Linked DNA regions of Mytilus edulis. The protein of the gene in region 2 interacts with the protein of the main gene of each other region in a pairwise test. Links are inferred from orthologs where the notes say so. Each region holds a gene or a part of one and is shown on either strand. Other genes may lie near its edges.

The links.
Region 1: the proteins of tax1-binding protein 1 homolog B-like (region 2) and microtubule-associated protein 1 light chain 3 gamma-like interact in binary tests that used the Homo sapiens proteins (3 or more experiments, as listed by UniProt). The link is inferred for Mytilus edulis from reciprocal best matches to the Homo sapiens genes TAX1BP1 and MAP1LC3C.

Annotation. Positions count from the first base shown.
Region 1 is NC_092346.1:23,188,339-23,196,003, forward strand, and holds the start of microtubule-associated protein 1 light chain 3 gamma-like, read right to left. Parts: upstream 3,099-7,665; 5' UTR 2,971-3,098; coding exon 2,907-2,970; intron 2,871-2,906; exon of another isoform or gene 2,856-2,870; coding exon of another isoform or gene 2,828-2,855; intron 1-2,827.
Region 2 is NC_092345.1:32,307,577-32,315,578, forward strand, and holds the start of tax1-binding protein 1 homolog B-like, read right to left. Parts: upstream 3,001-8,002; 5' UTR 2,893-3,000; exon of another isoform or gene 2,849-2,892; intron 1,340-2,848; 5' UTR 1,333-1,339; coding exon 1,284-1,332; intron 1-1,283.

The DNA.
Region 1 (7,665 bases), on a different chromosome or scaffold from region 2:
CCTTTGCGCCCCTTATTCCTAAAAACCTGTTGGGACCAAAACTACCAAAATCAAACCCAACCTTCCTTTTATGGTCATAAACCTTGTGTTTAAATTTCAAAGATTTCTATTTACTTATACTAAAGTTTAATTTTGGACCCCGATTTGGACCAACTTGAAAACTGGGCCAATAATCAAAAATCTAAGTACATTTTTAGATTCAGCATATCAAAGAACCCCAAGGATTCAATTTTTGTTAAAATCAAACTAAGTTTAATTTTGAACCCTTTGGACCTTAATGTAGACCAATTGGAAAACAGAACCAAAAATTAAGAATCTACATACACAGTTAGATCCGGCATATCAAAGAACCCCAATTATTCAATTTTTGATGAAATCAAACAAAGTTCAATTTTGGACCCTTTGCACCCCTTATCCCTAAAAACCAGTTGGGACCAAAACTACCAAAATCAAACCCAACCTTCCTTTTATGATCAAAAACCTTGTGTTTAAATTTCAAAGATTTCTATTTACTTATACATGTACTAAAGTTATGGTGCGAAAACCAAGAATAATGCTTACTTGGGCCCCTTTTTGGCCCCTAATTCCTAAACTGTTCAGACCTCAACTCTCAAAATCAATCCCAACCTTCCTTATATGGTCATAAACCTTGTGTTTAAATTTCATTGATTTCTATTTATTTATACTAAAGTTATTGTGCGAAAACCAAGAATAATGCTTATTTTGGCCTTTTTTTGGCCCCTAATTCCTAAACTGTTTGAACTAAAACTCCCAAAATCAATCCCAACCTTCCTTTTGTGGTCATAAACCTTGTGTCTAAATTTCATAGATTTCTATTCACTTAAACTAAAGTTATGAAAACACATACACTGTACTGATTAACATGACTAATGAACAAAATTACAGTGTTTTTGGTTTGTGAGCTTTAGAGCAACGACAAGCTTGTATCTTTCTTGGAACTAGGTTCACTCCCTCCACTTTATTATGTAATGATCAATATGATAAGAAAGTTATTGAACCTTCAAATATTATTCTATGGGAGGCCATAAATCCATCCTTTTCTATGAACAAACCTTACCAGGAATCATGGATAGGAAACATTGCTTTAGAATATTCAGCTGTCATCTTTCATTCAATCTGATATTATCTTCATTGTTACCGGTATTCTATTTGAGGTCTGATCGTATGTTTACCGGGATACCCATAAATGTTTTGTAGCTGTTTCTATTCAGAATATGTGAACATGATCAGGATTTGTGGTTGACGTGTATCTTTTTTCAGTTTATCCCATTCTAGAGCATTTGTCTGGAGAAAATGTATATGCAGCTGAATTCCAATAATTAAGTTCTGCACATTATTCTCTATTCTGCATACCATCCAGACCCTCACCAGTCCATTTTGAGGTAATGATGTCTTTATGCTTTAGTATTTTTTTTAGTACAAATTACAATGTACTAATATTTTGTGAGACCATTATCATAAATTCAACAAAATCTTTGGCAAAGCCCGTCACAATGGCATAATAGTGTTGAATTTGTCTATCAAATAAATAAGTCTGAGCAAATGCTTTAACATTAGTTTTGCTTAAACAAACTTTTTAAAACTGTTAATTCAAAAACATATATTAAACTGCTGACTTTTTGAGATACAATATGTACTCAAAGTTTAAAGAAACTTGTAAAATTCATTCCAACTTCGTTTAAGATGCTGATATTTGACTTTCATTTTACTGACCTCCTATGATTTTTATTGGCATGATTGGTAGAATTTGGGATAGTCATATGACATTGAGTTTACATTCTTAATGACATGTATCACACATGTATTTATATATAACTTTTTTGCACATTTTCATTTATTTTTCAGTACATGTAGGTCCTATTTGGGTCCTTAATACCTATCCTATTTTTACATTAGGCATGTATTAGGTCACAGCACAGGCACTTGATTTCTGTCAATACTAATAAAATATTGGCAATGGAAAGAATAGAATAGACCAGAGACATAAATACATGTCTCTGAATAGACACTGTCTTGATGGTGTTAACATTCCTTGAAATGAAACTCAAGATTTATATATTTGAAAATGGCCAAATAATCGATAACCATGTCTTCTCTTAGTTTTTCCCCTACTCTTTAAGGTTCATCATAACAAATGGACAAATATGGCAGAATTTTCACCTCAAAAACTTCTCCGTGTACAGACTTACCTGTGCTGTTTGGAAAGTTTTAAGGCCTAGCATCCACTAAATATATAAAAGTTAAATGCATTGGTTTTTGATGGGGTTTTTTTTTCTGCAGAAGGTGTAAAAATAAACAAACACCTGAATTTATTAACTTTGATCTGAGACTACTATGTGTTATAGTAGTCTCAGCTTTGATACTGTCCACTCACTGACTCAGATAAACTCTTTAACTGAATAATTCACCTGTAGTTGTGTGAAGATACCTCTTGTCCATGTCAATTGAGGACAATCAAAACAATACAAACCGGTTTTTACCTGAAGGGCTCATCTCAAACTTTAGCTGCGGAACCGTAGCTCTTAGGTCCTTATGTTATTTTTTGACTATTTGCGGCACAGCTACTCAAACTTGTACCACAACTTTAATAGTTAATTTTCACACCTCATGCATGAAGGGAAAAAAATGCCCATCAAAATCCAAAAGAGATCTTTCTGAAACACAAAAATTATGCATTTAAATTTAATATATCTAGTGGATGCCATGCATGAAAACATTTCCAACTTCACAGGTAAGTCTGTACCCAGGTTTTTGACATGTAAATACAGCCATATTTGTCCGTTTGTTATGATGAACTGTAATGTACCTGTCATAACTTGGGAAAACTTTGTCATTACTCGATTACTGTATTGGCATTTTTATATTTTGCTGTATCGTGTACTTACAAAAACTCTTTCTCTGTTTGAATGTTTTAGCCCCCTCGGCCGTATTATACTGCCTTTCAGGCATGTTACCACTAATATTGTGTGTATCTAACTGCGAACACTTTTCAATCTGTCATCAGCTGGTTATGACGTAAAACCCAAGGTTCAGAGAAAATCATAGTCGTTATTTGGTATTAGGATACGCCGCTGAATAACTCGGCCTAAAGCTAACTCGGACTATAACAAACTCGGCCCACCACTATTACTATACTATATATAAAAAATATTAATTTTCGCGAACCATTTAGGTCACGGAAATTCCAAAATATGGCATCAGTAAGGAGAGTTGTACAAATAATGTAAATACACAGAACCCCCATCCAATATTCATCTTTAGCTAAAAGTATTCATCATTTGAACACGTTCTCATCTAAAATTAGAAATTCTCATATGCCACTTAACTTATTTTTGTGTGAAAAGGCTACAACATTTGGGATTATTGATATATTTCGCGTTAAAAACTCACTGTATAGCATTAACAATATTTGTTTGTCATCTTTTGGCAAGATTTGTGATCTTTCTTTGTAAATGCGAACCAAAATTTCATCATTTTATCATAAACCTTTTTCATAGGATGCTAGAATGAACTATTTTAACACCAAGGAAATAGTTCAAGTAAATAAACCTTAAAAAGATACTCATTCTGCATTTTTGTTATACTTTTATGTCATTTTTGAAATATATACATAACATAGCATTTACCCATCTTTATTTCAGATGTTTCAATGAAAAGAATGCTAAATTAAGTCTTTTTTCTCTTACTTGTATTTGTCAGGTCTGTATGCCTGCATACCACCCTGGTGTATGCTAAAACCTCACTGTATGTGTATACTAGAATTTGTCAGGTCTGTATGCCAGCATACCGACCTGGTTAATGCTAAACTCTCACTCTATGCATATTCAAGTATTTTTCAGGTCTGTATGCTAGCATACCGACCTGGTAAATGCTAAACTCTCACTCTATGCATATATACTAGCATTTTTCATGTCTGTATGCTAGCATACCGACCTGTTAATTCTTAACTCTCACTCTATGCACATCCTAGTATTTGTCAGGTCTGTATGCTAGCATACCGACCTGGTGTATGTTAAACTCTCACTCTATGCATATACTAGTATTTTTCAGGTCTGTATGCTAGCATACCGACATGGTTAATGCTAAACTTTCACTCTATGCATATACTAGCATTTTTCAGGTCTGTATGCTAGCATACCGACCTGGTTAATGCAAAACTCTCACTCTATGCATATATACTAGTATTTGTCAGGTCTGTTTGCTAGCATACTGACCTGGTGTATGTTAAAAACTCACTCTATGTACATACAAGTATTTGTCAGGTCTGTATGCTAGCATACCGACCTGGTGTATGTTAAACTCTCACTTTCTGCGTATATAAGTATTTGTCAGGTCTGTATTCCTGCATACAAATCTGGTGTATTTAGAACCTTTAATATATTTATTTTGGCATAGTTAAGGTCTGTATGCCTGTATACGAACCTGGGATATGTAAACCGATTTTTTTTTTAATTTATTTTGGCTTTTTTTCTGCTAGGTACTTGTATGCCTTCATGGATTCTAAAATTTTATTCTGGATTCATGTTTGTATTGGCAAGTCTGTATGCCTGAATGCTAAGTATTTACTGAGTAGTAACATTTCTTATTTAATTATGTTTGCATACCTCCCTTAGAAAATAAGGAGATGTGTATGATTGTGAAATGAAAAGGTTGAATTACTTATGTATAGCCTTCAACTTCATTTGAATTTGAAAGAAAGCTCTTAATTCTTAACTGCAACACTCAGGGGTTAATTCCCGTATACTAACCCGCTTTTCAATAAACCCTTGTAAAACAATGGAATTCATGGGTTTGATTGTCGGTATACCAACGTATAATCCTATACCCTTTGGAACATAAAAGTTTGCATATTTGTTTGACATTTTCAGTTCACGGTATTCTTGCATGCAACACTGGTGTACGGTGAAAGCTTATTTTTCTTGCATGGATACATACAAGCTTTAATTGCTTGTATACCAATCTATGTTTTATTGAATTGCAGTTTTACATACATTCTAGTATTGTGAAACCAAGCTGTTTTTTAGTAAGCTTGTGTTATTGTGTATGGTTTGCCCCAGTCTTAAATGTCTGCATATTTGGTGGCACTTATTAGATATTAAGCAAGCTGATTGGTTTGCATTCTAACCAGCCTTATATTGTATTCATATTTTGAATTGCAAAACTATCATTTTTCATCATTCTCTAAGTTATAGACTTCAAGAGGGGCGAAAGATACCAGAGGAACAGGCAAACTCATAAATCGAAAATAAACTGATAACACCACGACATGAAATATACAAATTAAAGTACACAAGAAACAGCATAGAAAACAAACACAGTCTGAGCAATTAACACGAACCCTAACCAAAAACTGGGGATGATCTCAGGTGCTCCAGAAGGGTAAGCAGATACTGCTCCAAATGTCCAACAGTGGCACCGTCGGGTTGCTCATGTTTTTACAAACCCGATTTAACTAGCTTTATACAGTAAGTCAAATTCATGAAAAGGGAAGAGGATTGTAGTTATGACGTGAGAAACATATCCCATATCATCTATGAAACGGTTATTCCATAACGGTCAACCAACTATATACTATGGTAACAATTGTGTATACACTGGAGTTGTAAAAACAAATCCTTCAACCAGGAAAGCCAAAGAATTGATGCCTTTTCTAGTGAAGCCATGCATACATTATTAGCAGGAACAGCAAAAAGACTGGTGTTGTTCATTGGTGTCATAGTTTTCTAGGAAGGCATTGGTTTAACCTAACCAGTCACTAAGAAGTGTTACAATTAAATTCATAAGCAACACATAAATAGTTACATGAAAGGTATAGCCAATGTTTGAAAAATAAAATGCTGAAACGAGAAATGGAAACTACATATTATATACATATACATAGGCGAGTAAATATTTTACACTTCACAAATTTAACATTGATGTGGCGTGGTCAACTACATCAAAGATTTGATGGTCAATTATACTTAATTTGTTGAATGATCTTTCATCTTGATTAATATTAAATGTGACAGTTTGCATGTACGGTACATTAGTTGCATAGTAGAATTGTAATAACATTTGGACGTTTATCAAAGCAAGGTTTAATGTAATTTAAGGACAGCGGTTCATAGCACGATTTTGTAAGAAACTTTGCATTGATCACTTATATTGGTGTAGTAGCTTGAAGTAACAATTAAGTTGCGATATAGATTATAATGAAGTAACATGTTGTTTTATAGAGTTGGAACTAAGTAACGTTTTGTATTGGAATTTATAACTGTGAACCTGGGCTGTGAACCTTTTAAATATATCATATATATACATGTACTTTTATATGATTAAACATGTGAACATTAAACAGACTTCGTTACTAGTATATAGACGGTAGTGAGTCTATATATATATGGTGAAATATTTAATAGCTATTTCCTTATGTAAACGGGCAAGAAGGATTAGATCCCAGATACATATATCCAAAATAATGACTGTCCAAAATACACAGAACAAAGACCCGTTTAGCGTTACATTTATATCACAATTACTGATTTTAAAGTTTATATGAACTAAGGGTTCTTTATAGTGGTTGAATTGAACTCGTTCCCTTGAAAAACAAATTGTCGCCATGCATGTGATTGATTGAAGATCAATGAAATATGTCATTTCCTTAGTACTAGTAACATTCATTTTTCCAATTTGAACACTCTTGACAAATAGACAAGATGCAAATTATTGCAAGAACATAGTGATTTATTTAAGTACTTCATCTTGACAGTCGCTGCATGATTTTCAAAAAAAAATAACTTACAAGGCCAAGACGACCCCCTACTGACGAAGTGGTTATCTTAAAAGTTTACATTACAGCAATTTTGCGCCTGTCCTAACTTGTAGCAAGGAACCTCTGGCCTTTTATTTTTTTTTATAATGAATTTTGCGCAATAATTGCATGCTTTGTAAATGACACAAAAATGGAAACAAACTACAAAACCTGCAAGACACAGACATTAATATACTTGATTTTTTTCAAATTGTCGAGTAAAAAATGCTGCTTTTCAGAAACGATTTTTAGTGGCAGGAAACGACTAGAATGCAGGATTTTAACGCTATGAACCCCAGAGCTTCTGGGGGCCTTGAGCGGCTCCCATACCCTCTGCAGTAAGACGCTGGCGGAACACTTCCGTGTCCCATATGTCTAATTTGCCAAAAAACGTACCATTATTTATGGGCCTGCTACGCCTATGTATTAGTGAAATAAAAGTATCTGAAGTATCTTAAAAAAAGATCTTCATAAATTACCCTGTTACAGTATTTATTTAAACAGTCTAGTGGCGGATTAAGATATTTTCATAAAGGGGGAGGGGGTTCCAGCCAAGGTTCAGTAATTCCTATATAATCAACCAAATTTGCCAATTTTAACATGTGAGCGCTCAGCTTCCCCTTTTTTTTACCTGGGAAAGTTGTTTCCCTAAAAGTTGTAAGAATAAGACATGAATATCCAGAAGTTTCATAAGGGGGATGAGATAGGGAGGGCACTGCATGACTTCTTTAGAGATGGACGCTTCAGTACTGTTTCCCTCAATAAATCAACTAAAGTTTTCCCACAAAGCACTGGCATAGCACCCCCTTATATAGATTCTACCTCTTGCTACATGTGTACATGTTCAAGTC
Region 2 (8,002 bases):
GAAATCAATACTACAATTTTCGGTTACCAGAGTGATTTAAAATTTGAAATAAGTCTTGTTAGGCAAAATAAAAAAGTCTGTGTGGTTCCAGTTACATCTGAAAAAAAGTTAGGGTAGGTAGGTGAGGATTTTTTTTTATTTTATGTTGGTTTTTTTTACATTGAGTCTATGGGAGCAACATTCTGACTTTAACAGTGCTTAATGAAAAAAGATAATAAAATCTTTAGGGTAGGCTATTTTTGAGGCAAAAAAGTAGGGAAGGTAGGGTTACTGGAACCACACATATATTTTTATTTGGCCTTACATCATTACATAAAGAAGTATTTTAATCATACATGACTTATCTTGTCAATTGATAAACAAAATAAAAATAAGCTATCAGACAAGATATATTTGACTGTTACACAATAACCATGATAATGTATCACCTTTGTTTATATTTGTAAATTTAAAGTTTTAATAATTTTACAATGTAAAGAATTCAAATATTAGCAAACAGTCTGAGAACTGATGACATATCATTAAACTGATATTTATTGTGGCGTTACTGCATTGCTTTTTAAGGTAAAAATCTGCCAATCATCTTTTAAATGTTGGGGTTTAACTTCTTTTATTTTTTAAATTACTCTAAATTATTTTAATTCTGTTCATTGTGAAGACATTAATTTGAAATTTTCACAGATAAAAACAGAATTAAGGTCACTTTTATTTATTTTAAGTTTGGTAATTATCAGTTCATGAAGACAAACAATAGATATACTCTAAACTATTCATACACATCAGTGGTGGATCCAGAGGGGGAGGGGTTCCAGGAGTTGGACCCCCCCCTTTTTTTTTTTACGATCAATGCATTTAAATTGGGACCCCTCCCCCCCTTTTGAAAATGTCCGGATCCATCCCTGCACATTTGTTTGGCCAAAGATTAACAAGAATCAATAATAAGTTGATATGATCAAATGATTTAGATGTAGATCATACACATATCATGCATGCACTTAAATTTCAAGTGGATAGTGTACCGGTACATGTTTGTACATTTAGGAAATTATAAGTGTTTGTAAACAATATGAATTGAGATAGTGTTCTCAAGCCTCTTGGCCTCTTTTAAAATATATCTTTTGGCATGGTTCTTGTTGCATAGTCTTTAGTTTCTATATTGTGTATTGTGTACTATTTATTTGCTTGTTTTTATCTTTTTTAGCCAGCCATGGCATTGTCAGTTTATTTTCGGTCTATGAGTTTGAATGTCCCTCTGGTATCTTTCACCCCTTTTTTATACTTACTTTGATCACTTTTGTCTACATCGGGCTCATCATCCATACCAAATCTCATTATTTATCTGTAAGCAAAAAATGCAAAAGCTCAGTGTAATTCACTAAATAGGATTAATCAGAAATGTTTGAAATGTTTTTATTTTGAAGAAATTTGAAGGATAGTTTTTGCAAAATAAAAACTAGAATCATGTCTTTCACCAGAAAAGATTGCCAATTTCACACACCATTAGTCATTACATGTATATGACATCATTTATCAGATAGAAGGTGCGTCTGTATGCTTGCTCTATTTAAAGTTTCCAGCACTTTCAGAATCGTCATTCTGTAGGGTTGTATAGAAGAATTTAATTTCAGTAAGTACGTTATCTTGATTCCCAGACGACTGAGGGAGGGTCACCATCTTATTAGATTTTAATTTCCTAAATATTTTGTACAGTATAAATCAAACTTTTCATCTGTTTGCTCAAAATGTGTTAGAAGTGACAATGCCTACATTTTCGTCACTTGGTGATAAAAGTCACATGACAAATTCAACTGCAGTTTTCCCAAATAAGGATAAGGTCTATAAACCCATGCTGATTCCAATTGCTTTTAACTATCTTGCTGCTGAAAGGACACATGTGTCCACACTGGCTGTGCTGGAGGAAAACATGTGTCAATGATTTAATTTATGCAGGCTTCTCATTACTGCTGTGTATTTTTCATATACATGTAAAAGATTTAACTGTAATATTTTCGTCAATGGCTCCAAAATGTAACGGTTATTAGGGCATGATGTCATTGTTGGGCATGTGACTTTAAAGACATTAAGCTGTCATATTTTCTGGCACACAAAATGCAACCTTAAAAAGCAACTGACAGCAAGAGGGGTAAATTTGTGATACAAATAGGTAAACTTCAAAGGAAACAGTTCGATAATACACCTTTAAGTTATTGCTATTTGTCCACCATTAATTACTGGACATCACAAAGGTTCCAGTAAAATTTTGACATCATAATACAAAATATCTGATGCCACTATATGGAAGTGATTATTGTATGAAGTCAATACTTCAAGTGGGGCAGATTCTCGAGTCATCTGTTATTCAGATGGAAGACTGGAAAACTTACAGAAGAACTCGGACATTTTTCAAATAGCAATAATGATGAACAAGGTGTATTGGTACCCTATAAAAATGTCAAAAAATCTTATATTTGAATCAAAGATAAACTAAAAGGGACCATTATCTTTATAATTATGTAATGTTTGTATGATTATTTTCCAGTATATTTATAATTTAGTTTATGGTAAACTATTTCCACAATCTTAATTTGTTCCAAATTGCATGACTTTGATGGCAAAAGTCATACAGCCTACTGTTGCAACACATATGATCTTATTGTTTTTCTCTTGCTTATGAAAATAAATTTCATTGAAATGGAATGTTTACTTTTTCTACAAATGGCTGAACAGCTGGCAACAAATAGGTCAATGTGTCAACAGACAACACATTTTTTTTCCATCACATAAATGACAGAAAAAAGACGAACAACTTACTGACCATTCTACTTTCGTGTTATAAAACCCGACTTACATTACGTTGTGTTCTTCTGTTTTGTTAGAATCAGTTATAATTACCTTTGTCGCGAAAGTAGACAATATACGTGTTTTCTAGAATGACAAATAATGTTTTTGTTGTGACGAAAATGTCTATTTTAGGAAATTATGGTCACGTGCTTAATGATTCGAAGATTTGCTATAAAGGGAGATAATTCAATTTTCCCGTACAAATTCATGTGAGTTCGTGGTCTAGTGGTTAAGACCGATGGCTACAGTGCTGAAGGTCCCGAGTTCGATTCTCACTCGGGGTGCTAAAAATATCAGTACATCAGAAGGGTAATTTTCACCCTCTCACACACATCTCTGGTACCCAGACCGGAGTTTAAACTAGAATGGGTACTTTGGGGGCCTCGGTTGGTCAAAGTTGTCCCCTACTTTGACCTGGAGATCAATCTTCTGATATCTCTCTGGTTTGTCTGTTTCCACCGAGTGGCCCGGTGGTTCTCTCCGAGTACTTCGGCTTCCTCCACCATAATAACAGACTTCCCGGTGTCCTACACGCTTCCTTGGGCGGTGTTGGGTGGGGATTGTTCTGGTGGTGGGATAATATTGTAAAGGACACATCTCCATTAATCCTTAGGGAGTGTACATGGATCCGCTGTACCCTTGCAGTCAATCAAGGGGTGCGTCTTAATTGGCGGAATCTCAGTACATACATTGGTCTTATTATTTTAAATAATTGACGATCTGTAGAATTAAGCATACCAACTTAAAAATAATATATCAAAAACTTCACATTACTGCATTGGCTATTTTTCAAGCTACCACTTTTGTGAATTAAGTAAAAGAAAAAGAAAAAAAGAAAAATCTGAGAAAATAGGCTATTTTTATCTACTAGACGTCTAGTAATGGACTTCTGGCTATATATAACATTCTTTAAGGAAACAAAAATAAAAGACAGTTTAACGAAACCTTTATCTAGTAAAGAAAAAGAAAAAGTAAAAAAAAAATCTTTAAATTCCTTATCTTTATTTTACCATTCAGTAGAAATGTTAGATTTATCTCCACATAAAAATGGCCAGCATGTTGAAAAATTGATTCGAACACAAAACAATATTTTTTTTTCTAAAACAGTTTCAACAATGCAATAAATTTCTCATATATATCTTTCTTCAAAATTCCCATCATCTCTCAGCACCCATGTAATTTTCTCACATTTCATATGACTTTTTTTTATTTGTGAATTGTTATTCTTTTAAAAATATTTAATATATTCTTTTTTCTTTTTTTCAGGGCAAATAAATTTGACAACAACAAAATAAACTGTTGAATTTGCAGATTTAAGCAAAGCACTAGCCCGATTTTGTACCGCTAATATTATACATTTCAAGTTGGCGGTATACAGTAGGTATAGGTACCTAGCTAATAGAACTGACATGATGTCACAAGAATTGTTGAAAAAAAATCAGCTATGGGGTTGCTACAACACTCCCCCCCCCCCAAACAGTTATATATACTTTCTTGATAATAAAATAAATATAGTCCCATTAATTTTCTGCGTACAGTAAACAAATGAAAAAAATTCTACACCACTAATGTTTTTGCATATTAGTTACTTTCTAGAATTGTTTATTATGCCCTTAATTGTTTATATATAATAATACAACACATAACATGTAAAATAAGAAAGACACGTTTGTCTTTAGTTTCCAACTGATTGAAAATAAATGTTCGTCGGCGCATACAAAAATTCACTTTGACCTTCACAACTGAAATTAAAACTGTTGCTGCCGTAATCCTATCACATTTGTTTAATTACTTGCACGATAACACATTTCTCCTTTTGTCTTATAACATTCTTAATTGTTTTCTTTGCAGTACATGGAAACCTTTGTTATTTTGCACCAAACCAATCACATTTGTTTAATCACTTGCACGATATCACGATGGTCGCCTTTGTTATTTTGCACATGACCAAATTTGTTTTGTTACCCGATCACATTTGTTAAATCACTTGCACGATATCACGATGGTCGCCTTTGTTATTTTGCACATGACCAAATTTGTTTTATTACCCGACACATTTGTTTAATCACTTGCACGATATCACGATGGTCGCCTTTGTTATTTTGCACATGACCAAATTTGTTTTGTTACCCGATCACATTTGTTAAATCACTTGTACGATATCACGATGGTCGCCTTTGTTATTTTGCACATGACCCAATTTGTTTTATTACCGATCACATTTGTTAAATCACTTGTACGATATCACGATGGTCGCCTTTGTTATTTTGCACATGACCCAATTTGCTTTATTACCGATCAGATTTGTTTAATCCCTTGCACGATATCACGATGGTCGCCTTTGTTATTTTGCACCAGACCAAATTTGTTTTATCACCCAATCACATTTGTTAAATTACTTGCACGATATCACGATGGTCGCCTTTGTTATTTTGCACATTACCAAATTTGTTTTATTACCGATCAGATTTGTTAAATCACTTGCACGATATCACGATGGTCGCCTTTGTTATTTTGCACATGACCAAATTTGTTTTATTACCGATCAGATTTGTTTAATCACTTGCACGATATCACGATGGTCGCCTTTGTTATTTTGCACATGACCAAATTTGTTTTGTTACCCGATCACATTTGTTTAATCACTTGCACGATATCACGATGGTCGCCTTTGTTATTTTGCACATGACCAAATTTGTTTTATTACCCAATCACAATTGTTTAATCACTTGCACGATATATCACGATGGTCGCCTTTGTTATTTTGCACATGACCAAATTTGTTTATTACCCAACACATTTGTTTAATCACTTGCACGATATATCACGATGATCGCCTTTGTTATTTTGCACCAGACCAAATTTATTTTATTACCCAATCACATTTGTTTAATCACTTGCACGATATCACGATGGTCGCCTTTGTTATTTTGCACATGACCAAATTTGTTTTATTACCCAATCACATTTGTTAAATCACTTGCACGATATCACGATGGTCGCCTTTGTTATTTTGCACATGACCAAATTTGTTTTATTACCCGATCACATTTGTTAAATCACTTGCACGATATCACGATGGTCGCCTTTGTTATTTTGCACATGACCAAATTTGTTTTATTACCAATCAGATTTGTTTAATCACTTGCACGATATCACGATGGTCGCCTTTGTTATTTTGCACAAGACCACATTTGTTTTATCACCCAATCACATTTGTTAAATCACTTGCACGATATCACGATGGTCGCCTTTGTTATTTTGCACATGACCAAACTTGTTTTATTACCGATCAGATTTGTTTAATCACTTGCACGATATCACGATGGTCGCCTTTGTTATTTTGCACCAGACCAAATTTGTTTTATCACCCAATCACATTTGTTAAATCACTTGCACGATATCACGATGGTCGCCTTTGTTATTTTGCACATGACCAAATTTGTTTTATTACCGATCAGATTTGTTTAATCACTTGCACGATATCACGATGGTCGCCTTTGTTATTTTGCACAAGACCAAATTTGTTTTATTACCCGATCACATTTGTTAAATCACTTGCACGATATCACGATGGTCGCCTTTGTTATTTTGCACCAGACCAAATTTGTTTTATTACCCAATTACATTTGTTTAATCACTTGCACGATATCACGATGGTCTCCTTTGGTATTTTGCACCAGACCAAATTTGGTAATTACCCAATCACATTTGTTAAAAAAAAAATCGCAAAATGGCATGAGCACATTTCTCCCTTTTGTCTTATCACGTTCCTCCTTGTTTTTATTGAATCACATGGTCGCCTTTGTTATTTTGCACTAGACCAAATTTGTTTAATCACCGCATTACATTTGTTTAATCACTTGTATGATAACACATTCACAGTTCTCTCAATTTCTTATCACATTCTTCATTGTTTTCGTTGAAACACATGGTCGCCTTTGTTATTTTGCACTACACCAAATTTGATTAATCACTTAAATGATAGCACAAGCACAGTTCTCTTATAATCTTATCACATTCTTCATTGTTTTTTTTGAATCACATGGTCACCTTTGTTATTTTGCACATGACCAAATTTGTTTTATTTCCCGATCTCATTTTTTAGTCACCCGCATGATTGCACAAGAACGGGTCTCTTATAATCTTATCACATTCTTCATTATTTTCGTTGAAGCACATGGTCGCCTTTGTTATTTTGCACTAGACCAAATTTGTTTAATCACCCAATCACATTTGTTTAATCACTTGTATGATAGCACAGTTCTCTAAATATCTTATCAAATTCTTCCTTGTTTTCGTTGAAGCACATGGTCGCCTTTGTTATTTTGCACCAGACCAAATTTGTTAAATCACGTGTATAAAAGCTCAAGCACAGTTCTCTTATAACATGCTTCATTCTTCATTGTTTTCGTTGAAGCAAGGGGTCGCCTTTGTTATTTTGCACTAGACCAAACTTGTTTAATCACCCAATCACATTTGTTAAAAATCACTTGTTTGATAGCACCTTCACAGTTCTCTCAATATCTTATTACATTCTTCCTTGTTTTCGTTGAAGCACATGGTCGCCTTTGTTATTTTGCACCAGACCAAATTTATTTTTATTACCCGATCACATTTGTTTAATCACTTGCATGAAAGCACCAGCACTTTTCTCCTTTTTCTACTCACATACTTCCTTGTTTTGTGAAGCACATAGCCGCCTTTATCATTTTGCACTAGACCAAACTTGATTTATCACCCAATCACATTTGTTTAATCACTTGCATAAAAGCGCAAGCACAGTTCTATCAGTATCTTATCACATTCTTCATTGTTTTCGTTGAAGCACATGGTCGCCTTTGTTATTTTGCTTCAGACAAAATTTGTTAAATCACTTGTATAAAAGCTCAAGCACAGTTCTCTTATAAGCTTATCACATTCTTCACTGTTTTCGTTGAAGCACATGAAGGGTTGGCAAAAACCCGGGTTTTATGAGTTTTGCCCAGCCCAGTGGTAAATACTGGAAAAACCCGGGTTTTACTGGGTTTTAGTGGGTAATACTGTGCAATACTGGGTAATATAAAATACTGGTCTGAATTTTATAGAGGATTTAGTGATTAAACACAAATGTTATACATTTAAGATATATATAACCTTTTTTGTTTGTCTGGATTGATAA